7 linked regions of the Canis lupus familiaris genome follow. The protein of the gene in region 1 interacts with the protein of each later gene in a biochemical or structural test. Links are inferred from orthologs where the notes say so. Each region holds a gene or a part of one and is shown in the gene's direction. Other genes may lie near its edges. The genes, in order: SNTA1, WWTR1, SCN5A, KCNA5, GUCY1A2, DGKZ and SLC16A7.

The links.
Region 2: the proteins of SNTA1 (region 1) and WWTR1 interact in a test that uses a peptide from one of them, tested with the Homo sapiens proteins (2 studies listed by IntAct, with this or other methods). The link is inferred for Canis lupus familiaris from reciprocal best matches to the Homo sapiens genes SNTA1 and WWTR1.
Region 3: the proteins of SNTA1 (region 1) and SCN5A interact in a test that uses a peptide from one of them, tested with the Homo sapiens proteins (2 studies listed by BioGRID and IntAct). The link is inferred for Canis lupus familiaris from reciprocal best matches to the Homo sapiens genes SNTA1 and SCN5A.
Region 4: the proteins of SNTA1 (region 1) and KCNA5 interact in a test that uses a peptide from one of them, tested with the Homo sapiens proteins (2 studies listed by BioGRID and IntAct). The link is inferred for Canis lupus familiaris from reciprocal best matches to the Homo sapiens genes SNTA1 and KCNA5.
Region 5: the proteins of SNTA1 (region 1) and GUCY1A2 interact in a test that uses a peptide from one of them, tested with the Homo sapiens proteins (3 studies listed by BioGRID and IntAct, with this or other methods). The link is inferred for Canis lupus familiaris from reciprocal best matches to the Homo sapiens genes SNTA1 and GUCY1A2.
Region 6: the proteins of SNTA1 (region 1) and DGKZ form a complex in vitro, tested with the Homo sapiens proteins (2 studies listed by BioGRID and IntAct, with this or other methods). The link is inferred for Canis lupus familiaris from reciprocal best matches to the Homo sapiens genes SNTA1 and DGKZ.
Region 7: the proteins of SNTA1 (region 1) and SLC16A7 interact in a test that uses a peptide from one of them, tested with the Homo sapiens proteins (3 studies listed by BioGRID and IntAct, with this or other methods). The link is inferred for Canis lupus familiaris from reciprocal best matches to the Homo sapiens genes SNTA1 and SLC16A7.

Annotation. Positions count from the first base shown.
Region 1 is NC_049245.1:23,164,404-23,167,903, reverse strand, and holds part of SNTA1 (alpha-1-syntrophin), read left to right. Parts: intron 1-1,146; coding exon 1,147-1,332; intron 1,333-3,500. UniProt on the Homo sapiens protein: Adapter protein that binds to and probably organizes the subcellular localization of a variety of membrane proteins. May link various receptors to the actin cytoskeleton and the extracellular matrix via the dystrophin glycoprotein complex.
Region 2 is NC_049244.1:44,798,029-44,800,330, reverse strand, and holds part of WWTR1 (WW domain-containing transcription regulator protein 1), read left to right. Parts: intron 1-657; coding exon 658-842; 3' UTR 843-2,302. UniProt on the Homo sapiens protein: Transcriptional coactivator which acts as a downstream regulatory target in the Hippo signaling pathway that plays a pivotal role in organ size control and tumor suppression by restricting proliferation and promoting apoptosis.
Region 3 is NC_049244.1:8,568,210-8,571,709, reverse strand, and holds part of SCN5A (sodium channel protein type 5 subunit alpha), read left to right. Parts: intron 1-31; coding exon 32-173; intron 174-700; coding exon 701-898; intron 899-2,249; coding exon 2,250-2,429; intron 2,430-3,206; coding exon 3,207-3,500. UniProt on the Homo sapiens protein: Pore-forming subunit of Nav1.5, a voltage-gated sodium (Nav) channel that directly mediates the depolarizing phase of action potentials in excitable membranes.
Region 4 is NC_049248.1:6,280,333-6,283,763, forward strand, and holds KCNA5 (potassium voltage-gated channel subfamily A member 5), read left to right. Parts: upstream 1-1,128; coding exon 1,129-2,931; downstream 2,932-3,431. UniProt on the Homo sapiens protein: Voltage-gated potassium channel that mediates transmembrane potassium transport in excitable membranes. Forms tetrameric potassium-selective channels through which potassium ions pass in accordance with their electrochemical gradient.
Region 5 is NC_049226.1:25,391,692-25,395,191, forward strand, and holds part of GUCY1A2 (guanylate cyclase soluble subunit alpha-2), read left to right. Parts: intron 1-1,497; coding exon 1,498-2,216; intron 2,217-3,500. UniProt on the Homo sapiens protein: Has guanylyl cyclase on binding to the beta-1 subunit. Isoform 2 acts as a negative regulator of guanylyl cyclase activity as it forms non-functional heterodimers with the beta subunits.
Region 6 is NC_049239.1:43,525,240-43,528,739, reverse strand, and holds part of DGKZ (diacylglycerol kinase zeta), read left to right. Parts: intron 1-1,649; 5' UTR 1,650-1,668; coding exon 1,669-2,405; intron 2,406-2,741; coding exon 2,742-2,850; intron 2,851-3,269; coding exon 3,270-3,365; intron 3,366-3,500. UniProt on the Homo sapiens protein: Diacylglycerol kinase that converts diacylglycerol/DAG into phosphatidic acid/phosphatidate/PA and regulates the respective levels of these two bioactive lipids.
Region 7 is NC_049231.1:3,690,422-3,694,545, forward strand, and holds the start of SLC16A7 (monocarboxylate transporter 2), read left to right. Parts: upstream 1-1,324; 5' UTR 1,325-1,465; exon of another isoform or gene 1,466-1,713; intron 1,714-2,137; exon of another isoform or gene 2,138-2,190; intron 2,191-4,124. UniProt on the Homo sapiens protein: Proton-coupled monocarboxylate symporter. Catalyzes the rapid transport across the plasma membrane of monocarboxylates such as L-lactate, pyruvate and ketone bodies, acetoacetate, beta-hydroxybutyrate and acetate.

The DNA of each region.
Region 1 (3,500 bases):
ATTCATGGGAGACACACACAGAGAGGGGCAGAGACACAGGCAGAGGGAGAAGCAGGGTCCATGCAGGGAGCCCCGTGTGGGACTTGATCCCGAGACTCCAGGATCATGCCCTGGGCTGAAGGCAGGTGCTAAACGCTGAGCCACCCAGGTGTCCCTATTTTATGTTTTAAAAGGATATTCAAGATCTCAGCCATAAAGTGATTCAGTAAGTTGTATTAAGTTTTTTTTTTTTTGCATCAGAGATGCAATCTGGATAGGCTTTTGAAATCTAGACTTTCAGGCCTTGGTTTTCAGCTGGGTCCTGGATTGTAAAACTTTCCAATTGTGAAGAGGTCCTTGGGGGGCCATAGCAATAACTGATTTCTATCTTTACTCCAGATTAAGTGGTATCAGTGGGTTCCCCCGTTGTGGGGAAAATAACTTAAAATATTAAATATTTAAGAAAAAGCTATCGAAGCACTTGTAAGTTACTCAAACACGGGCGAACACCCAAAGCATTTAACCAATGATCCAGTGACCAAACTCCATTAAGAATTTAGAAAATGGAAAGAAAATGAGTGGGAAAAATCAGAGACAGTGAGAAAACATGAGAGACTCCTAACTCTGGGAAACAAACAAGGGGTAGTGGAAGGGGGGTTGGGTGGGGGACTGTGGTGACTGGGTGATAGGCACTGAGGGGGGTACTTGATAGGATGAGCACTGGGTATTATACTATATGTTGGCAAATTGATTCCAATAAAAAATATATACATAAAAAAATTTAGAAAACGAGGGACACTTGGGTGGTTCAGTGGCTGAGTGTCTGCCTTGGGCTCAGGGTGTGATCCTGGGGTTCTGGGATTGAGTCCCGCATTAGGCCCCCCACAGGGAGCCTGCTTCTTCCTCTGTCTATGTCTCTGCCTCTTTCTGTGTGTTTGTGTCATGAATAAATAAATAAAATAAAATAAAAAAAGAATTTAGAAAATGACTTATTAGTGTTCCAGACTTGTAAGACTCCTTTCTGAGATTCTCTTTACTCTCTCATCCCCGCTTTCCTGGCACTGGGCTGGGCGCCGAGGTAGGCTTTCAGAAATAATTTTGCCTTCGTGGGACTCTTAAGCATTGGAGCATCTGCTTCAGTCTCTTCCTGTTTCTGTGCCCATGCAGGGGGCCGGGAGAACAAGATGCCTATTCTCATTTCCAAGATCTTCAAGGGCCTGGCAGCTGACCAGACTGAGGCCCTCTTCGTGGGAGATGCCATCTTGTCTGTGAATGGGGAGGATCTCTCCTCTGCTACCCATGATGAGGCGGTGCAGGTCTTGAAGAAGACAGGCAAAGAGGTGGTGCTGGAGGGTAAGCACTGGGGACCCTACGGGTGTTCAATTGTCTCCTGCCTCCTCTAGGCCTTAAGTAGCCCCAGTCCAGCAATGGGGACTGAGAGGTGAGCAGGGTTGAAAACAGAAGCTGTACATGGGGACCTGCTTTGACACAGTACAGGGTGGTGGTGGGAGAGCCGGTATAGAGCCAGACAGATCTAGTTTTCATTTTTTCTCCCCCATTCATTAGCTCTGTAGACTTGGACAAGTCATTTCATTTCCCTGAGTTTCAATTTCTTCATCTATAAAACAGGGATGTGGGGGCACCTGGGTGGCTCAGTCGGTTAAGTGTCTGCCTTTGGCTCGGGTCATGATCCCAGGGTCCTGGGATTGAGTCCTGCATTGGGCTCTGCTCAGCAGGGAGCCTGCTTCTCCCTCTCCCTCTGCCTGCCACTTCCCATGCTCTCTGAGTCTCTCTTTCTCTGTCAAATAAATAAAGTATTTAAAACAAACAAACAAACAAACAAAAAAACCCAAACAAAACAAAAACCAGGGATGTAACACTTCTGTTTTGTTGGGTTGTGTGTTCAGGACAAAAGGTACATGGCAGGATCTGCCACTCAGTGAGTGAATCAGGGAAGGAGAGGGACAGAGACTGGGGAAGGAGCAGCTAATATTCTCTCTTGAGGAAACTGGAGAGTTCCTAGCTCCAGGGACCCTGAAACCCTGAGACCCATCCTCCTGTGGGAGAAGACTTGACCTTTATGTTGCAGAACATCAGATCCTTCCAGCAAGGATCAGAGAGGAGTTTTGATGGGGGGCTTTGTGGTTCTCCTCCACTATGCTCACACTATGTGGTCTTGGACAATACCTTTATCTTCTCTGGGCCTTGGTTTCCCCATCGATTGTGATAGCCTCTTGCTGTGGCTGTCCCTCATCTGCCTTTTGCTATCTCTCTTAGGAGGTTTCTGCTTTGCTCAGCCCTTTCTTCAAACTCCCCTCTATCAATTCCGGAAGCTGTGGGGGCCCGAGGAATGTGTGTTTGGCTCTAGGCCCAGAACAGGCACAGGGAGATGGCGGGGGCTGATGGAGAATGCCATGGCTAGTGTAGCTGCTGAGCTGAGCCCCAGGCCTGGATCCTGATAGATTGCCTTTGTTTCCCCAAACAGGTCTCCAAGAGGCCACGGAAACAAACAGGCTTTGGGTGATCTTTGGTGTGTTATGGCCCTGACCTCAGTTCTCTCTTGGTTTTGTTTTATTTTTTACATTTTTGTGTACCTCTTTAAGTGACAGTGGTGCATTTTTAAAATATATACTTAAAAAAAAAGTCAACTCTGTGGTATTGGTCCTTGAAGCTTAAGTATAACAGTCATATTTTAACAGCAAAGTTAAATAACAAGATCACTGAGAGATGATATGGATATAAAAGACTCTCCCCACCCCATGCCTCATTACTTTGATATTTATTGCTGGTAATGCAGTTGAAACTCATCAAAATGTTATATTTTGGTTGACTTGAGAAGATCTTTTAGTTTATGCTGTTTGAAAGTTTAACCTGTAGATGGTAAGATTTCTACTGTAGACACAATTCTAATGCACACTGAGATCCCCCTCATCTTCTCGTCTTTAGGTTGAGAATGTCTATCTGGGTTCTCAGCATGGGTCATTCTGAGAAGACAGCGTCTCTGAGTGTTGAAAGCTTGAGGCTTCTGGTTTCAGGAGCTAACACCCAAGCCTTCTGTATCATTCTTGTACTCCATTCTTTCCTTACTAAGTCAAGAAACATTTATAGACACCTACTATGTACCTGGTGTGCAGAGCACAGGGTCAGAAGCTAAATCAGACCCAGGCCTTCTCCTGAAAGAGCTCATTATCTGGTGGAGGAGAGTCTTGTTCATACAAACTCTTTAAAAATCAGTTTCTAAAATCTGTCTGCTCTGTGATGAATCTCTAGCCTTGGGTAAGACCCTTGCCTTCTCTGGCCCTCAGTCTCCCTATAGGTTGGGATTAGACCAGAGTATTTTTTTTTTAATTTTTATTTATTTATGATAGTCACAGAGAGAGAGACAGGCAGAGACACAGGCAGAGGGAGAAGCAGGCTCCATGCACCGGGAGCCTGACGTGGGATTCGATCCCGGGTCTCCAGGATCGCACCCTGGGCCAAAGGCAGGCGCCAAACCGCTGCGCCACCCAGGGATCCCTAGA
Region 2 (2,302 bases), on another chromosome or scaffold:
TGTGACTTGTACACATTGTGAGAAAAGTAGATAGTTGTATGGTGCCAGGTGTGTGTGTGTGTGCGTGCGCACGCGTGCGGGGGAGGGGGTGATGTGCAGAATTTGCTTTATAAAATACTTTGAAAACGATCCCTAGAGCCATCGATGAAGACAGCTCTTTAATAACATGGTTAAAGTAAACTCCTAAGTGTTGTCTTTGAACATAAAGAGGAATGACATGGATAAATATAAGCTTAACAATTAAGTCCTTAGAGTATAACTCGATGATAAGGTATTTATTACGGGGTGGGGGGCCCTCTACTCTTTCACAAAACCGCTCTTCATGCAGCTGTCATGGGAGGGCATAGACCACAGGTCCCATCCACAGGGCCTTCCTGTGCTTTTCTCCTATCTTAGGCTTATCCCTTCTGGGCAGTGTCTTCCGGGACAAATAAAGATTGACCCGGCATCTCTGCATCTCTTATGAGTGAGGATCACCAACTCAATCCTAGGAAGGTGGTAGCTGTAATTTTTCACAGAGGTGAAATATTTTAGACCTGCAGTGATAGAATCTTCTGTTTAAATGTAAGCACTGTGGAAATGAAGATGAGAGTTGTGTTAATGCTTCAGGAGCTTAAAAAAACGGAATTAAAACGATCTTCCTTTGTTCTGTTATAGGAGAAAATGCAGGACAGACACCCATGAACATCAATCCTCAGCAGACCCGTTTCCCGGATTTTCTTGATTGTCTCCCGGGAACAAATGTTGACCTAGGAACTTTGGAATCTGAAGATCTGATCCCCCTCTTCAATGATGTAGAGTCTGCTCTGAACAAAAGTGAGCCCTTTCTAACCTGGCTGTAATCAATACCATTGTAACGTGGATGCAGCCGTGACCTGACATTTCCTGGGCCTCTTGGAAAAAGCAATGGAGCAGAGTAAGTCTGCAGGTGTACCACTTTCTGCCTCCATGACTCAATGCTCCCTCCTTTCCATGCGGCCAGTTTAATCATTGCCTGGATTTGATTGACAGTAACTTAAGTTAAACGCAAATGAATGCTCTATTTTCATTTTCTGCAGGCCTGCATCCCTGTGATGGGCTATGCAAGAATTGCTTCTGCAGAACTGAGAATGCAGAATTGCTTCTCTGTTTTTCTCTCTGCTGCCCCATAACTAAGCTTTAGGGGTGTCAGTTGAAATTTGTGCATCCATTGATTATAAACCATAAAAAGCCGACCACAGGCAGTGACTTGTGACAGGCAGCTCGGTCCAGGAAATGTACACGAAATTAGACCTGATTTGCAGTTTTAAAAACTGTATTAATGACAGTAGTACCAAATGCTTTAAAAAATATTTAACGTGAGCTTTAAAAATCATTGTATGGATAGTAAATCTCTGCTGTATGGAATACAATGTAGTTTTGAATCCATGCTGGTTCTGATGGTTCTTTTACTCTGTATCTGCAAAGGCACACATGGTCCTATTGTAGTTTGGCCTTCCTCATTACTTTACTGCGTAGTGTCTAGACAACTCTTCCTTCCAGCAGGAGAGGAGCAGGAACCTGAGTCACAGTTCCTACACTTACAGATCTTATGAAAGAGACCAGTTTGGTACTAATTATGAGCATTTGTTAAACAAAACTTTTGTTTTTTAATTACAAGTTGGATTTTTTAAAAAAATTGCAGCTTAGAATTTGATGTTTATTTTATAAAAAGCACTCTAATTTTGTAGCTGATGACAAAGGGCAGCCAAATATTTTTGATCAATCAGTGGCAACTGTATTTTTGTCTTTTGAAAACTGTTCTGAAAACATCAGGACAACATAGCTTCCAACCTGACAGCGCACACAGTAAACTGTTGCTTTTTAAATGCTGAAGCCTTATCAGTTTTGCTTTCCAGATTTCAAGTGTTTAAAATACTCTTATCTATGAAACTGTTTGAAGGATGAAGCAGATCTCTGACTGACGTGTAAAAAAAAAAAACAACCCTCTGAAGGGTGTATGGTGGAGACACGTGTTTCTGAATTCAGCAAAATTGATTCCTAAGTATGTTATCCTAACCGTGTTTGCTACAGTTGGTATAAAAAGGCATGAAATATGTACTCAATACCTCTTATGTAACCAAAAACATTTTTTTTTTATTAGCTTTTAAGGACTGAGAGAGAGCATCAGGTTCCCCCAGGCATGCAACTCTGTCTGCATTGCCAATGAAGTCCTCGATTGTTTAATATTTTGAACTGACATTATTTATAATCTATGAATTTAATATCTTTTTGGAAAGACATGAATAGTTCAGGTCTCTGAGAGGAACCTTCAATTCCCAAG
Region 3 (3,500 bases), on another chromosome or scaffold:
CAGGGGACAGAGTCTGTGTGTCTGACTGCAGGACATGTCCCGAGGGTTACCGGTGCCTAAAGGCAGGGGAGAACCCTGACCACGGCTACACCAGCTTTGACTCCTTTGCCTGGGCCTTCCTTGCGCTCTTCCGCCTAATGACACAGGACTGCTGGGAGCGCCTCTACCAGCAGGTACATGGGTGCATGGGCGGGAGGAACACCAGGAACTGGCTAGGGACCAGGATGCACAGGTGATTAGCTAGAGGCCCCAGCAGCTTCTCCACTGGCAAGAGCTGGGGAGGCTCAAGGAATAAGGGACAGGAACCCTTGCATCTGAGGAATGGGAACAGCAAGCAAAGAAACTTCTTGCTGGTAACCAAGTACCCTTCCCTCTGTATGGGGCTCACTGTGCTCTGTGAGTAGGACATTTCTCTGCCCTATATGATGGAATAGTTGCCTCTATGCATGCAACATTTCCTCTGTCGACTGGAACATTCTGCCTCCCTCCATGGATGGGACACTATCCTCTGCATGTAGGTCATTCTTTTCTATGGGTTAGAATACTTACCTCTATAGGCAGGATATGCTCTACTCCTCCCCAAGCTGTGGCCATTTGAACTCTTGGCGTAGCCTGACTGGACAACTTGAAATTCCAAGACCATGACCATGACCCAGAAAGGGCCCCAGTGAAGATAACCTCTGTTGCCTTACTCCCCCAGACCCTGAGGTCTGCAGGGAAGATCTATATGATCTTCTTCATGCTTGTCATCTTCCTGGGCTCCTTCTACCTGGTGAACCTGATCCTGGCTGTGGTTGCCATGGCCTACGAGGAACAAAACCAAGCCACCATTGCTGAGACAGAGGAGAAGGAAAAGCGCTTCCAGGAGGCCATGGAGATGCTCAAGAAAGAGCATGAGGTGAGTGAGCATGCAGCCAAGGAGCCTCCAAAGCAAGTCCTCACCTGATTCTGGCTGCCTATGAACCTGGTGCCTGCTGGGCAAAGCTGGTGCCTATGGGGATGACACCTGCTTCGTAACGCTGGTGCCTACAAACCTGGTACATGCTGGGTAAAGCTGGTGCCTGCTGGGTAAAGCTGCTATCTGTAAGTGTGGCATCTATAGATAAAAGGCAGGTCCTGCTGGGTAAAGTTGATACCTATTAACCTTCTACTTGCTAGGCAAACCTGGTGCCTGTGGGCATGGTGCCTGCTGAATAAAGCTGGTGCCTATAAGCATGGTGCATGCTGGGTAAAGCTAGTGTCTGCAGATGTGACGCATGCCAGGTAGAGCAGGTGTCTGTGGGTATGATGCATTCCGGGTAAAGCAGGTGTCTGCGCATGTGATGCATGCTGGGAAAAGCTGGTGCCTTCACGTGTGGCATCTACTGGATAAAAGACAGTTACTGTTGAGCGATGCTGGCGTCTACTGGGTTAAAGTATTTCATGTGAATGTAGTGTCTGCTAGGTGAAAATTTGGTACCTGGTTAAGGACAGTGCCTGTTCATGAGGCACCTACTAGGTAAAAGTCTCACTGGGTGCAAGTGGGTGCTGTGAGTGTGGTGCCTGCTGAGGAAAGTGTTCCCTATGACCATGGTGTCTTCTCAGAGAAAACAGTGCCAGCTGGGTAAAAATGGTGGCTGCCAGGTAAAGGTGGTAGCTCCTGTGTAAAGGAACCTAATGCATGCTGGATAAAAGAGAACCACATGTCCATGGACTGAGTTTATCCTAGTCAAGGGATGTCTTCTGGAAGCTTGGTGAGGAAGGTCCAAGGTCGGAAGCCTGACCCAGCTCGGAAAATAAGCCCTGGCAGTGCTGCCCTGGTTACCCATCACTCCACACACAGGTACTGCAGGCTAACTACAGACCAAGCTGTTAGAAGCCATGTAGGCATTCACTTTCTTCTCATTGCCCCACGCTACCTCCCCCATCACCAGTTTTGGCCAACTGAACCTTCTAGAAGATGTCCTGCCCTCTAATTCTGTTGCTTCCTCTGCTCACCAACATCCTCCCACCTCAACTGTCCCTCACACTCCCCTCTTCCTAGAGCTGCCCACATCAGCCACTTCTTTCCTCTTCCCTGGACTTTGATTCTTTTCAAAACATGCTGGGTCTGTTTGAGCTCATCTCTCCATGATACTCTGGTCTGGGGTTAAGTGTGCAAGTCTACTTCCTGATGGGGAAATGGAGATACTGAGAGTTGCTCGGCCTGCCTTAGCCTGAGGCTGCACAAAGTCTCAATAACCAAAACACCCCTCTTCCACCTTTTCCAGGCCCTCACCATCAGGGGTGTGGACACTGTGTCCCGCAGCTCCTTGGAGATGTCCCCTTTGGCCCCAGTAACCACACATGAGAGAAGAAGCAAGAGGAGAAAACGAATGTCTTCGGGGACAGAGGAGTGTGGGGATGACAGGTTCCCCAAGTCCGACTCGGAGGATGGTCCCAGAGCAATGGTAATCCCCGGCCGTGGCTCTGACCCTTTCAGTGTGGGTCTGGCATCAAAAGCCCATCATGTTGGGCCCCTGGTGCAGCCCCCCGTGGTTGCTCCCCAAGGAGACTATCCTTGAGCCCCCTTCCAGCCCTCCGTGTTTCCCATGACCATTCTTGGAGTGGAGGAGGTCTGGGCAGAGACACCAGCTAGGTTTGGGTGTTGTGATGTCACCAGCATTGGGGCTGGGGCTAGGACCAGAGGTTACCCTGTGGTGTAGATTGGTAGGCACCCAAAGACATACCCATTTGAGTCAAGTACATGGCTGATGGCCCCAGGTCCTGCTCAGGCCAGGCCTGTTTGCACCACCAGAAGCTTTCGTGCCTCCTTCTTCTCCTGCCCAGCCACAGCCACAGCTTCAGGCCCAGGTAAATTTGGATCTCAAAGCCCCAAAGGCACAAGCTTTAAGTGAGCAGAGATCCCAGATGATGCAGGACCAACTATACCCCCTCCTGTGAACACACCCTGGCTCAGCGCCCCCAATTCCCGAGTGGCCAGCAGAAGCCTGGGTGGCTCCGTCAGTTAAGCATCCAACTCTTGATCTCAGCTCAGGTCTAGATCTCAGGGTCATGAGTTCAAGCCCTGCTGGGCACAGAGCCTGCTTTAAAAAAACAAAACAACAACAACAAAAAAACTCTCATTGCTCTGAGACAACCTCTCAGTCTCCGAGAACATCACAGGGGATAGGCTGGGAGCACATAAAGAGCTGGCTTGGTGGTGTGCCTTCTCCCTGTATCCCCAGAATCGCCTGAGCAGCACACATGGCCTCAGCAGGACCTCCGTGAAGCCACGCTCCAGCCGTGGGAGCATCTTCACCTTTCGCAGGCGAGACCTGGGCTCGGAGACAGATTTTGCAGATGATGAAAACAGTACAGCGGGAGACAGCGAGAGCCACCGCACGTCCCTACTGGTGCCCTGGCCTCTGCGCCAGCCTAGTGCCCAGGGACAGCTCAGTCCAGGGACCTCGGCTCCCGCCCTCAATGGTAAAAGGAACAGCACCGTGGACTGCAACGGGGTGGTCTCCTTGCTGGGGGCA
Region 4 (3,431 bases), on another chromosome or scaffold:
ACTCCTGCCCCCTACATACCCCCCCGCCCCCCCCCCCCCCCACACACACACAAAGCTGCAGTTGCCAGCTCCAAACTTCACCGGAGAACAGCTCTCTTCCTCTCTTTCTCTCTTACTGGATTTTGCAAACCGGATTTATGCAGAGTGAGGAGTTATATGTCCTCAGGAATAGGAGACCAGGCAGTGAATTTGTCCCACGGGCCATGACTCTCTGGACTGCGAATCAGGGCTGTCCCAGGGCTATGGCAGGGGGTCACTGCCAGCTGTCAGCCGGTTACCTTTGGGTGGGAAGAGAGAGGCTTCTACACCTTGGTCTGGAGGTATCTCCAGCCCTAGGTATCTCTAGATCTATAGATCCCCAGGGCCCATAGCTCTGCCCAGCCTCTTCTTGTCCATAATTCTTCCCCAAGAAGATGGAATGGTTAGTTACTCCTCCAAAGGAGGATTGTAAAAGGGCTGTTATTTCATGTCTCATCCGTCCAACCCAAGGCAGTTCATTTCCCCTGGAGTCCACTTGGCGTTCAGCGGGTTCCCAGGTGAACTGAAATCCACAGCTATTCTCATCTGGTTGCCCTGGGAGTTTTGGCGCTGTCGGTACAACCTGTTCCTTCAGCCTCTCATTCCCCCCCCTCCCTCCCCCCACCTCCAGGCTGCTCCCTTCTCCGCCACACCCCCCCCCCCCAGTCGCCCCAGGCCCCAGCCGTGCCCTCCCTCCGGGGAGACACCCGCTGCTGGAGACCCAGGAGGGGACGCGGGGGAAGGAGGAGGGGAGGGGACGGGGCGGGGTAGGGAAGAGGCGGGAGAGCCGCGCTGGGTGGAGGCCGAGGCCGAGCGCCGCCCCGCAGCCAGAGAGGGGCGGCTGAAGGTTGCATCTGCTGGAAGGAGGCTTTTGGCTGCCTGGTAACGGGCTGCCGGAACGGAGAGCGGAGAGCGAGGCAGCGAGCAGGGCAGCAGCTTCCTGACGTCAGGGCCGAGCCCGGGGATCGCGCCAGCAGCCCCAGCCCGCCCCGCAGGGAGGCCGGCCGACGGCTGGAGAAGAGCCTGAGCCACGCAAGGCGCCCAGCCGGGCGCGAGCGGGGGCTCGGACGCCGGTCAGTGGGGGCGCAGCATGCCCCCTGCCCCCCGGCCATGGAGCTCGCCCTGGTGCCCCTGGAGAACGGCGGGGCCATGACCGTCAGGGGAGGAGGTGAGGCCCGGGCAGGCTGTGGCCAGGCCGTAGGGGGGGAGCTCCAGTGCCCCCCGACGGCTGCGCGCGGCGCCGGCCCCAAGGAGCGGGAGCCCAGGGAGCGCGGCCCGCCGAGGGGAGCGGACCCCGGAGCGCGGCCTCTGCCAGCGCTGCCTCTGCCTCGACGGCTGCCCCCGGAGGACGAGGAGGGAGACGGCGACCCCGCCCTGGGCCTGGCGGAGGACCAGGTGCCGGGCCCGGGCTCGGGGTCCTTTCACCACCAGCGCGTCCTCATCAACATCTCCGGGCTGCGCTTCGAGACGCAGCTGGGCACCCTGGCGCAGTTCCCCGACACCCTCCTGGGGGACCCGGCCAAGCGCCTGCGCTACTTCGACCCCCTGCGGAACGAGTACTTCTTCGACCGCAACCGGCCCAGCTTCGACGGCATCCTCTACTACTACCAGTCCGGGGGCCGCCTGCGGAGGCCGGTCAACGTCTCGCTGGACGTGTTCGCCGATGAGATCCGCTTCTACCAGCTGGGGGACGAGGCCCTGGAGCGCTTCCGCGAGGACGAGGGCTTCATCAAGGAGGAGGAGAAGCCGCTGCCCCGCAACGAGTTCCAGCGACAGGTGTGGCTTATCTTCGAGTACCCGGAAAGCTCCGGGTCCGCCAGGGCCATCGCGATCGTCTCGGTCTTGGTCATTCTCATCTCCATCATCACCTTCTGCTTGGAGACCTTGCCCGAGTTCCGGGACGAGCGCGAGCTGCTGCGCCATCCCCCGGGGCCCCCCCACCCCCCTGGGCCCGCCCGGGGGACCAACGGCAGCGCGGCCCTGGCGCCCGCCTCGGGCCCCACGGTGGCGCCTCTCCTGCCGCGGACCCTGGCTGACCCCTTCTTCATCGTAGAGACCACGTGCGTCATCTGGTTCACCTTCGAGCTGCTCGTGCGCTTCTTCGCCTGCCCCAGCAAGGCGGAGTTCTCTCGGAACATCATGAACATCATTGACGTGGTGGCCATCTTCCCCTACTTCATCACCCTGGGCACCGAGCTGGCCGAGCAACAGCCAGGCGGGGGAGGGGGTGGCCAGAATGGGCAGCAGGCCATGTCCCTGGCCATCCTCAGAGTGATCCGCCTGGTCCGGGTGTTCCGCATCTTCAAGCTCTCCCGCCACTCCAAGGGGCTGCAGATCCTGGGCAAGACCTTGCAGGCCTCCATGAGGGAGCTGGGCCTGCTCATCTTCTTCCTCTTCATCGGGGTCATCCTCTTCTCCAGTGCCGTCTACTTCGCAGAGGCTGACAACCAGGAGACCCACTTTTCCAGCATCCCGGACGCCTTCTGGTGGGCAGTCGTCACAATGACCACGGTAGGCTATGGGGACATGAGGCCTGTCACTGTGGGGGGCAAGATCGTGGGCTCGCTGTGTGCCATCGCCGGGGTCCTCACCATCGCCCTGCCTGTGCCCGTCATTGTCTCCAACTTCAACTACTTCTACCACCGGGAGACGGACCACGAGGAGCAGGCCGCTCTGAAGGAAGAGCAGGGCAGCCAGAGCCAGGGGACAGGGCTGGACAGCGGAGGCCCTCGGAAGACCAGCTGGAGCAAGGGGTCCCTGTGCAAGGCTGGAGTGTCCCTGGAGAATGCAGACGGAGCCCGAAGGGGCAGCTGCCCCCTGGAGAAGTGTAACCTCAAGGCCAAAAGCAATGTGGACTTGCGGCGATCCCTCTATGCCCTCTGCCTGGACACGAGTCGGGAAACGGATTTGTAAGGGGGAGCCCCGGCAGAGTGGTGGTAGTGGGGTGGGGATAGCAGAGACCTCCTGAGCCGGGGTACTGACTTTATACCACGGAGTATTTCAAGCCCACCTTGAAGTCTGTCCCTCTTTAGACTTCTCTCCTTCCCTCCCTCCCTTGATCCCCCATTTTTCCTCTTCTTTCCATGACACCAAGGGTCGCCTATTTTTAAAAAGTACCACATTCCATGACGCAGGAGCTGTTGAAATGGTGAGCACTACGAAATGGATGTATTTGTAGCCAGTTCCCTATACCCAGCAGAGGGATAACCCAAACAAAAAATGACTTTAAATAGCCAAGATCCCAAGGGATTTTGTAACCCCCTCCATGTGTTCCAAATTTGCTTTACATATGATTTTATTTGTGTATAGGGGAAAATATTATTTTTATGGCTGGTGAGTGGATTTTTGTACTGTAGTTCAGATGGAGATATTTTGGATACATTTTCCAGAAATGCTGTATTTATGGAAGAGGG
Region 5 (3,500 bases), on another chromosome or scaffold:
AACCAAGACTGCTCTGTACTTTAATAGGACACTAGCAAGATGACCACTGTCTTTTCCCAATCTTGCCTTATCTTCAGGATCTCCTTATAAGATGGAGTAGATGAGGCAAGAAAATATGAATACGTAAACTTACATGTATTGATTTCAGCCAAAGTCAAAGGATAAGTAGTAGAATGACTCCATGTAGAGGTTTCCTTCAGCACACACATTCAGTTCTTATATATGTGCTGTATCCTTCCTCTTTGGACCATAAATTCTCTCCATATTTTTCCTCAGATCATCCTTAAGGGTGGATCTAACTTGATCACATGTGACTGGCTCTAATTTCTACATAATGTATTGTATGTGTGTATGTATGTATGTATGTATGTATGTATTTTTTGTTATCATTCCATTGCTATAATATAGAGTTCCTTTTGCCATGGCATGTGGAAGTATGAATGGAGAAAGCAAAGGGTTTTAACTCTTTCTGGTGAGATGCCTACTCCACCCTTGGCTAGTCTCATTTTTGTGAGTGAAACAATGCAAATCAGCCCATAGTTCTGTCATTTTACTTCCTTGTTTGGTCTCTCTCTCACTGGGGTCTCACTTAAGTCCTTCTGTTGACACTAGATAATCTGATGCCTTTCCCCATTCAGGTAACCATAAATCCCTCTCTGGTTGGTATTTCCCACTTAACAAATGAATTTTGATAAGTAAGATAGTAATAGTAGGTGGGTGTAATAGAGAAACAGTGTTATAGTTGCTTCTAAAAAGTTGCTTTAACTAAGAGGGAAATCATTAAGAAAATCTTATTTGTGTTGATTATAGCAAATGCAGTAGGATATTGAAAAGAAAAATGAGCGGCTAGATGAGCAGCATTTAGAAAGTTTGTGCTATGGGAGTTGAGAGGGGTGGGGCATGAAAAGGCAGAGAACGGAGGATTTCTACAGCAGCAAAACTACTTTGTATGATGTTATAATGGTAGGCACATATAGTAACGCATTTGTCCAAACCCAAGGATGTACAATAATAGGAGTCAACCCTCGTGTTAACTACCCACTCTGGGAGATGATTCTGTGTCATTGTAGGGTGATTGATTGTAACAAATGTACCACCATAGTGCATGATGACTGATATTGGGGTAAGGGTGAGATTGTGTGTTTGCTGGGAGAGGGTTCTGTGGAAAATATCCTTACTTTTTCCTCAATTTTGCTGTGAATCTAAAACTGCTCTAAAAAATAAAGTCTATTTAAAAACAAACAGAAATATTAAAAGAAGTTTATGCTCACTAACACCTTAGAAGCTTCTAGAAGATGAATTGAAATTTGCTTTCTCTGATTCAAAATGAATTAATCTCTTTGGGAATATGTGGGTCAAAGGGAAGGAAGTACCTCTCTTACCTCACTCACTAGTTACCTCATTTGATAAGCATTTTTTTTGATAAGCATTTTTAAAAGCTATAAATATGATGATTTTATGTTACTTCCCTAACATCTCCTTCCCATTTACCCCTAGGCTTGAAGTTTGAGGAAATTCAAGAAAGATTTGGAGAGGAGTTCTTTAATATATGCTTTGATGAGAATGAGAGAGTCCTTCGAGCTGTGGGTGGCACGTTGCAGGACTTTTTTAATGGCTTTGATGCTTTGTTGGAACACATTAGAACTTCTTTTGGAAAACAGGCCACTCTGGAGTCACCATCATTCCTATGCAAAGAGCTCCCTGAAGGAACTCTAGTGCTCCACTACTTCCATCCTCACCATGTCGTGGGGTTTGCTATGCCAGGGATGATTAAGGCCGCTGGCAAGAAGATCTACCGGCTGGACCTGCAAGTGGAACAGGTTGCCAGTGAGAAATTGTGCTCCGATGGCTCGAACCCAGGCAATTGTAGCTGTCTTACCTTCCTCATCAAAGAATGTGAAAATACCACCATCACAAAGAACCTTGCACAGGGCACCTCCCATGTCCCTGCGGACCTCAGAATCAGCATCAGCACCTTCTGCAGAGCCTTCCCTTTCCACTTGATGTTTGACCCCCACATGTCAGTCCTGCAGCTGGGGGAGGGCCTCCGGAAGCAGCTGCGGTGTGACACTCACAAAGTGCTCAAGTTTGAGGACTGCTTCGAGATAGTGTCTCCCAGGGTGAATGCCACCTTTGAGAGGGTCCTCCTGCGGTTGTCCACCCCGTTTGTGATCAGGACCAAGCCCGAGGCTTCTGGCACTGAAAATAAAGACAAGGTAAATGGCCAGGGGCTTGAGCTGGGTGATGGGAACTGAAAGGAGTGCATAATTATTTCAGTAAATTACATGCTGGCTGTACTTGTAATTATTTAGGCAAGAGAGCTCAAAGTGCCATTTAGGAAATCACTGGTCCCTGGATGTATGTAAAAAGATTTGGCCTTATTCCCAGCCATTTTGCATAGTGTCTGCCTTTTCCATTAATTTATTTCAGCGTGTAAAAAGAAGACGCTTATTAATACCAGCCATAGTAATTACAAAAATGATAGGACTCGCTAGAAACCTGATACTGTAAACCCATGAATATTTCCACCAGTTGAAGTCAAACTAGAAGAGAAATAGTAGGACTGAATCCCACACTGTGGGGCCCACTTGCCTCCTCCTAAAATAAATATGGGTGAAAAGCTAGCTCCGCTATGACTGTGCTCTGCTCTAAACTTCATATCTAGGAACATCTGGTTCACATCCTATTTTTGTCCCAGTTTGCAGAATAATACGTTTTCTAAAAGTTGGAAAATTAAGTGACAATCTCAGGGCTTCTTTTCTAAATACATTTTAGTATTGAAACAGACTCCTTCCTTTATAACATGCTCACTGCTTGGAGAACTCAGTGAACACGAGGAATTATTGTGAATTTCTTTGAATCCCTTTTTGGAAAATCTGGGTGATAAATTACAAAGAAATGAAAAGCTAAAAGCTGAATCTTATATTAGTTTACACGAACATGTTCCCTTAGGTAAAAAAAAAATTCTTTTAGGAGAAATCAACATTAAAATAATAAAATGTAAAGAAAATACAGTATTTTAAAATATAATAATAAGTAATATAGATGATGTTCTTCCGAGTAGACATTTGAATGTACATGTGTTCAGCTTCCAGTAGAGATTTTCAGTATTTTATATGAGGAAAATAAAGTTCTTAATAGGCAATTCGGCTTGTTCCCAAGCATTTTGGGGAAAGCTGTGGCTTTTTGAAATAAACAGGCTGCTCTGGGCTAAAGGAAGAGATGATTAAAAACTCAATGAATGAGTAATCACATATTCTGGAACACCTGCCATAATAAGTAAACGAGAGACTAACCTGAAAGCAGAGCCAAAGACATTTTTGAGGATTTTATATAGTGTTCATTTTAGAACCGATTTTTATAATTTTGAAATTCAATGGAAAAGTTTTCAACAAAATACTTAGAAATAGGAAAGGATGCCCATTTATTCAGGATGACTGGGTCCTGTGATTTATCATTTTTCATCACTTAAATTCAGTGATTTCAAAATGTCTAAGAAT
Region 6 (3,500 bases), on another chromosome or scaffold:
AGACCAAGAAGAGCCAGGCAGTCTCGAACACTGGTTCCCCAGGCACACTGCCTCCGTTGTTCCCTGGTCACAGGAGCTCAGACACCTTGGCCCTATGTGCCTCTCCCTAAATACCTCTGTACCCATCCAGGGCTTCAGCCTGGCATTGCTTGCCTGGACTCACAGGGTAGTAGCAGATTAAAGAGTGGGTGAGTGGGTGATGGGAGAAACAGGCAGTCGGCACGTAGCTGTGGGCCTGGGTCCTCGAGCCCTGCATCCACCACCGTTTGTCCAAGGCTCCCACCCACCATGCCTGACTTCCTCTAGGCCCTTAGCAGGTGGCCGTATGTCTCTTGCTGGCCCCAGGCAGATGTCCCATGGCTGTGACTTGGACCTCTCTGTGGCTGCCAGGGCCCAAGAGATCACTTGGTGGTGGGATACAGGCCCTGGGCATTCTGGAGGCATCCTCCCTACCCCTGCCCCAAGTATACCTGGCTTCCTGCCCTTCCCCCACTGTTTGGAAGAAGTGAGGGTACAGTAATCCCAGCAGCCTGTAAGAAGGGGCAGCCAGGAGTAGATGAGCTGGCGAAGGAGGCTAAGAATGGGTCAAGGGAGGGTGGTTTGAGTAAGGATAGTCCCCCACAGGAGGGAACTCTGGGTATAGAGTTGGAGCTTCTAGCATTGGTCCCCAGGACACAGTGCAGTTCACAGGCTCCCTTGGCAGCAGGGCTGGAAGGGTTTTCAGACCTCACCCGTCACCTGGTACTTGCACACATGGGAGATCCGTCCTCGGCGTCTCCAGAAAGGTGAGACAGAGCAGTCTAACATCAGGAAAGGGCCTGCTTTTAGCCCCTCAGAGATAGAGATGCACACCCAGAACACACCTGAAGGCTTTCCTCTTGGCTCAGGCCTCTCATAGCTTCCCATGTAGAGTCCCCATGGTTGAGGACTGGGGTGGCTCTCTCCCTGTATAACTCCCCCAGTCTGAGGGCGTTGGTCACCAGAGCCCTTTGATCCCTAAGTCAGATCTTCCCCTTGTCTGGTGCCCAATCTCTGCCTGACCCCACGGTTTGGGGCTGAGTCTAGGGGTCTTATCTGGACTGAATTTCCTTTCAGAGAGCCTCCTTTTATTACCATAGCTTACTTTGTGCCATGTCCCAGGAGGGGACACCTAAACCTAACCTGCTCTCAGTTGGTAGCTAAAAAAAGGCCCAATGAGAGGGCGGGGAAAAAGGCTTCTCCTTGGCCCCTCAGTCTGTAGAAGCCAACTGTACACTGGAACCCAGGACGGTGGGCTTCCAGTTTCCTTTTTTTCTTTTCCATCAGCTTCAGGCAAGGGAGTCAAAGGCCAGGGCTTTGTGGTTTATGATGCCTGGACAGGGGAGCCACATGGGTGGCTGGAAGCCCCTTGTACTCGTTACTCTTGGGGCAGCAGAGGGTATAACTGGGGAGAGCGGTAGTGCTTCCAACAGTGGTGCCTGTGGGCTCCCCTGAGGATTCCGTGGTACCCTCACACGACCTATTTATGGAGGTCAGAGGCCGTGGACCCCTCCTTCTTCCTCCCTGTGTCCCTTCTCTGTTCAAAGGGTAGAGGCCATGACTGGGCTCCAGAGCGTAGGATGGGCCAGAGCCTGGCCCAGCTCCTGATGCTCCCGGTCTCTGCCCAACAGCCCTCCACCTGCCCCTGGCATGGAGACCTTCTTTAGGAGACGCTTCCAGCGGAAGGAGCCAGGCCCCGGGGAGGGGCAGCGGCGGCCCAGCAGCGTGGGGCTGCCCACAGGCAAGGCCCGGCGCCGCTCCCCTGCTGGACAGGCCTCCTCCTTGCTGGCACAGCGGCGCCGCTCCAGTGCACAGCTCCAGGGCTGCCTCCTGAGCTGCGGGGTGGGGGCCCGGGGTGCCAGCCGCCGGCGCTCCAGCACCGCACCTCCTGCCTGCAACCCCCGCTTCGTCGTGAATGAGGTGCCCACCGCACAGCCTGCCACTGTTGGGGCGCAGCTTCTCAGCACACCCTTGCTGTTGGCTGGGCTCATAGGCATGAATGAGGAGGAGGAGGCGTCTCGGGAGGAGGACGTGACAGTTGCGGCATTGAGTGCCACCCAGCTGGGCGCCAGGAGACTGGGCCCCTCCTTGCACCGGGGCACCCTCCTGCCTGTGCCTGGCTGTCTGCGCCGGCGGCGCCGAGCCTCCTCCCACCTGCTCCCTGCTGACGTGGTGTATGACTGTGCCCTCTGGGGCCTGCACGGTTACTATCGACGCCTCAGCCAGCAGCGGGCCCCAGGCCCACACCCCGGCCCTGGGGGCCGAAGAGCCTCAGGCACCGCAGCTGGCGCTCTGCTGCCTGCCCGAGTGCGCCCGCTGTCCCGCAGGCGACAGGTAGCCCTACGGCGCAAGTCGGCGGGACCCCAGACCTGGAGTGCCCTGCTTGCGTAGGTATAGCTGCGGCCGGCAGGGCAGGTGTGCAGACCCCGAGGAGGCTGGCCTGGAGGAGGGACCTCGAGGCTCTACCTGGCCTGAGGGCCCCCTTCTTGGGAATAGCTCTGGATAGTGCCTGGAGGCCAGCCCACCCTCCAAGGGCAATGAGGAGGGCTGAGTCTCCTGCTGGGAACTGCTTAGGTTCCTAGGCTGCTATGGCACGGGTGTTGTAGTCCCTGCCTTGGCCAGGGGTTGAGGTCACGGTGAGGGCAGAGATCGCAGGTAACACGAGGGGAAGGAAGTAGAGTTACCAGGTGCTCAGCTGGCCTCAGCGATCTCCTTTTCTGTAGGAAAGCCATCACCAAGTCGGGCCTCCAGCACCTGGCACCCCCTCCTCCCACTCCCGGGGCCCTGTGCAGTGAGCCAGAGCGGCAGATCCGGAGCACTGTGGACTGGAGTGTGAGTGGCAGGGTGCTGGGAGGGAGGGACAGGTGGGTACCAGCCCCTGCTGGGCTTGGGGGGCTGCTGCGGGAGGAGCCCATGGGCCTTTGGGGTCAGGGCAGACCTCCTGGGGTAGCCCGGTTTGAGCCAAGCCCTCAAGAGCGGGGAGAGTGGGAGGAGCCCCTGGCTGGCTCAGTTGGTAGAGCTTGCAGCTCTTGATCTTAGGGATTGTAAGTTCAAACCCCACGTTGGGTGTAGAGATTACTTAAAATTTTTTTAAATCTTCAAAAAAAAGAAAAATGGGGACAGTGGGGAAACAGGATGGAGCAAAGTAGATTGTGGTGGCTGGTTTATCTTGGGGGAGAGGTGAGTTGGCAGGGCAGGGACTGACGTGCTGGGTAGCAGGTTGCTCTGAGCATGCTCATCTCATGGTCTAGGAATCCGCGACGTATGGGGAACACATCTGGTTCGAGACCAACGTGTCGGGGGACTTCTGCTATGTTGGGGAGCAGTACTGTGTAGCTAAGATGCTGGTGAGTGAGCTCTGGGTGGCATGCTGCCCCCTGCTGGTGGAGCGAGTCTAGAAGCCTATGGACAGACCTGCAGGCCTGACAAGGGAAGATGGGAAGACTCTCACTTGACACCCCTGCTGTGGGCTGCCTGAGGAT
Region 7 (4,124 bases), on another chromosome or scaffold:
TCTCTAAATTGTTTTCTCTTCTCAGCTTCTGGATAATATTAAGACTATAAGTCATAGGATAAATTGACTGGATTTATTCCCACCTAATTCTCCTTTCAGCTTCCTTTCTAATACAATCAAATATTTATGTAGCATGACTAGCCATAGCAATAAGGCAATTTAAAGATGAATCCTCAAATACTAACACTGGGGTAGTAGGTAAATTGGATCCAGAGTTTTAATTGTTGGAAAAACAAGACTTAAAAGAAAACTACAGTTATGATTCATGCATTCATGCATGCTAGTTAGTGACGTTTAGGAATCTGACAATGAGTTAAATAGACCAAGAACATGGGTCTGTAAAAACAAGCAAACAAATACAGAAAAAAAAAAAAAAAAAAAAAAGAGAGAGAGAGAGAGAGAGAGGGAGAAAAAAAAATCAAAAAGAAAGTAGAGAATAGGGTCAAAATTCAGGAAAGTTTTGGTCTTCTTTCTCTTCTTTGGAAGGAAATGAGTAATGAATGAGCAGGAAAAATGTCAATAGCAAACACTCAAGAACATGACCTGGAGATGTGTCTTACTTAGTGTTTTCTTTTCAAACTTTAACATTATTTTTTCTTATGAAAATGAAGTGTCTATAGTCACTGTTAGACATTCTATTACTCTCGTATGCCTATCACATTTTATATAAATGTCATTTTACACATTTTTAGTCCAAGAAAAGCTAGTCCTTTCTGGAATTTTCTGCCTTAGTTCCTTAGTTTCCAACATCACTCCCTCTGTAAAATGTCTTCCAAACTCCCAAACTTCCAAGCTCCCTCTGTAAACTGCCTAATAATAGGCAACATTTATTCACTCATATTATCTACCATCTACTACACATGTATCATCTCACCTAAATCTTACGACAGCAATAATGGGTTGATATTGCTTCTATTTTGTAGCTACAGAAACTACCATTCCAGTTTTGTAATAAGCCCACAAACCAGCTGTGGCCGAAGCAAGGCAATGTGAATTTAGCTAAGTGACTTAATTTGTGAAGGGGGGCAGATAATGCCACCCCGAAATATGCCACTTTGGCACAGTGATTATTTTGAATTAAAGTTACTTGGGAAACAGCCAGTGCCAGGAGGACACTCTGAGCACCCCCCCCCCCACCCCTCCCCACCCCTGCCTTTGTCCCCCTGAAAAGAGATGTGTGTGTAACGTAGGTGAGGGTCTGCTAAGTCGCCAGAAACAGGGCAACAGGAATTCGCAAGTTCAAGCCCGCGTTGCTTTAAAGGTTCCTTTTTGTGTGAGCAGGACTTCAGCTGTGAAGACATTTAAGGAACCTGATCTCTGGTGTCACCAAACGTTCAGTCCCAGCCCTTCCTCTTTCCGGCTGCCCCAAGAGTGTTCTGGACGGTGGAGGAAGGAAAAAGAGGGCAGAGGAAACCAGACCGACGGTTGTGGAATTGGCGCGAGCCCGGGCACGGCTCGTGGGCAGGTCGGACTCGCCCTTGGCGGAGTGAAGGGATTCGGGGGCTACGATGCAGCGGCCGGTGCACGGGCGCTTTCCTTCGCCTCTTTCCTGGTTCGGGGTCTTCTTGCACTAGTTTTTGTGCCCCGCGCCCCACGGGGTGAGGGTTAGGTTTCCCTTAGGTGTCGTGGTGGGGGGCCCCATCCCCAGCACTGCCGCTCCTCCCCGCGCCCGGGAACACCTCGGTCCCAACGGCGGCCCCCGGACACCTCCACGGCCGGGACGGGATGTCCGACCCCCGCCCCCCCGCGCCTCCCTCGCCCCCCACCCCCCGCGCAGCCCCCTCCCCTCCGCGCCCCCCCGCGCATCCCTCCCCCCACCCCCCGCCCCCCGCCCCGCTCGCGGGCTCCCCGCCTAGCTCGCTGCCGCCCCCAGCTACGCCCCGGAGTCCCCGCGCCCCGGGCCCGCGTCCGCGGGGGCACAGCCGCGGGGAGCATGCTCAGTCGGCCCCGAGTCGCGGGGCGGGGCGGGGCTCCCCCTTCCCCTCCCCCCTCCCCCCGCGCGCTCCCGGGCACCCACTGGGGCGCTCTCGGGCCGCGCCTCCCTCCGCCTCCCCCCCGCCCCCCCGGGCCGCGGGGCGAGGACGAGTCCAGGGACATAAATAAATAAATAATTCCATCCACGCGGTGGCGGCGCGGCGAGCCGGCGGCGGCGGGGGCGGCGGCGCCCCGGGGTGCGGGACGGCGGGTGAAGTAAGTGCCGCGGGCGCGGGGAGGGGAGGGGGAGGGGAGGGGGGAGGGGAGGGGAGGGGCGCGGGGGCGCGCCTCCGCGGGGCCGCACGCCTGGGTCAGGGCAGCGCCCCGGGGCCCCGCGGAGGCACAGCCCCGGTCCCCGGGCGGCCGCGGGAGGGCGCGCAGGGCAGGGGCGCGCAGGGCAGGGCGCCGAGGGGCCCCGGGCGGGGAGCGGGGGACGGCGGGTCCCGTGCGGGCCGGGGCAGCCCCGGGCGCGGCGGCGGCGGGGAGCGGCGGTGCAGGGCGGGGGGGGGGGGCGGCAACGGGGCGGAGGCGTCGCGGTCCCCTCCGGCTGCAGAGCGGGGCGCGGGGGGCCTGCGTGGGGCGGAGGGAGCGCGGCCGCGACCTGACGGGCTGCACACGGCCTCGGCGGGGGCGGCCGGGGCGGGCCGCTTTCCGGGGGCTGCGGGGTTTGGGGTCTACTGCGGGGATGTGGAAGTCGCACACGCGCGCACGCGCACACCGAGGAAGCGAGCCGCGGTTTCCCCGCAGGTGACTCCGCCAGGAGCAGAGGCGCCCAGTGGGTTGGGTCGAGGGAGGCCGCTGGTGTTTGCAGGAGAGCTCGTAGCCTACGTCCTCGCCCCCCTTCCCGGTCCAACAAGAGGCGCCGTGGAGCCGTAGGAGAGTGAGCCCGGGTGAGGGCAGCAGCCTGGGGGGCCCGGCGGGGACGCGGGACGCCCTTCCCTGGCGCCGCTGCCTTGGCCGCACGCAGGTGAGCGCAGAAGCGCTGCAGACCTCGGGGTGATCTCCGGGAGCCTCCAGCTCCAAGCGTGCATTTCCAGGGAGCGGGGCTGAGACCCAGGGCTGAGACCCAGAGCCCGAGGGGGGTTGCAGACCGTGGAAGAGGGAGCCAGGAGGTCAACAAGGTGACCCTTCTGGGCTCCTCCTAGAGCGATCGCAGCTCCACTTTGTGCTTCTGAACACACTGCCCTGAAAGCAATCTAAGCGGGCAGGCAACCGAGTGATTCAGTGAAAGGGAAAGATTATTACCTTAAGCAACTCGGTGTGTTGTGTAACAACTCATAAAGTCAGAGGCGGTTGGGGCTTTTTTTTTTTTTCCCCCAAAACTCACATCAGCAGTTTGCAGTTACATACTGCTTTTCCCCCCAGGGAGTGTTTTAATAATGGTAAGTGATCTGGAGTTTTAACGTTGGTTTCCCAATATTCAAGCTCTTGAATCCTCCCATAAATGCTCAGCCTCTTTCTGGAGACGCATGGACTCTTTTATAATATCTGGCTTACATTTTCACCCGGGAGCCCTCCTGAAGGGAAGAAGGGCAGACTGACCTATAGAAATATCTTTTATCCAGAGTCATATTCCTGGATCATGAGTCTGGAATAAAAGGAGACTCTTGCATTTACTTTTACGTCTCTCTTCATTCACTAAACTTTTTTTTTTTTGAGACATTCAGAGTTAGACACAGACTTCAAGGTCAATTTCGTACTTTTGTAAGGTTAAGTAATTATTTAACAATCTCCTCCTCGGTTTTTCTTATCCCTACAATGTGGTTGGTGCTACCTACCCTAAAGTGCTATTATGAGGAATAACATATAGAGAAAACAGCTAAAATACAGACTAGCAATTTTTGAACCCCTTGCACCATTCCAGACACTGCACTGTGGTTATCAAGATGGATGAGGCTGACATTCCGCTCTCAAAAAATTCACATGTGGCCATCCGGGTTAATCTTCCTCCTATACTTTTGTTGTTGTCAAAAAAATTAAAAGTTTTTATTTAAATTCCAGTTACTTAACGTACAGTGTAATATTAATTTCACGTGTATAATATAGTGGTTCTACACTTTCATACAACACCCGGTGCGCATCACAATATCCTATTAGCTTTTTACCAATTTCCTTCTCAATGGAGCAAAGGAGACATATATCCTACTAAC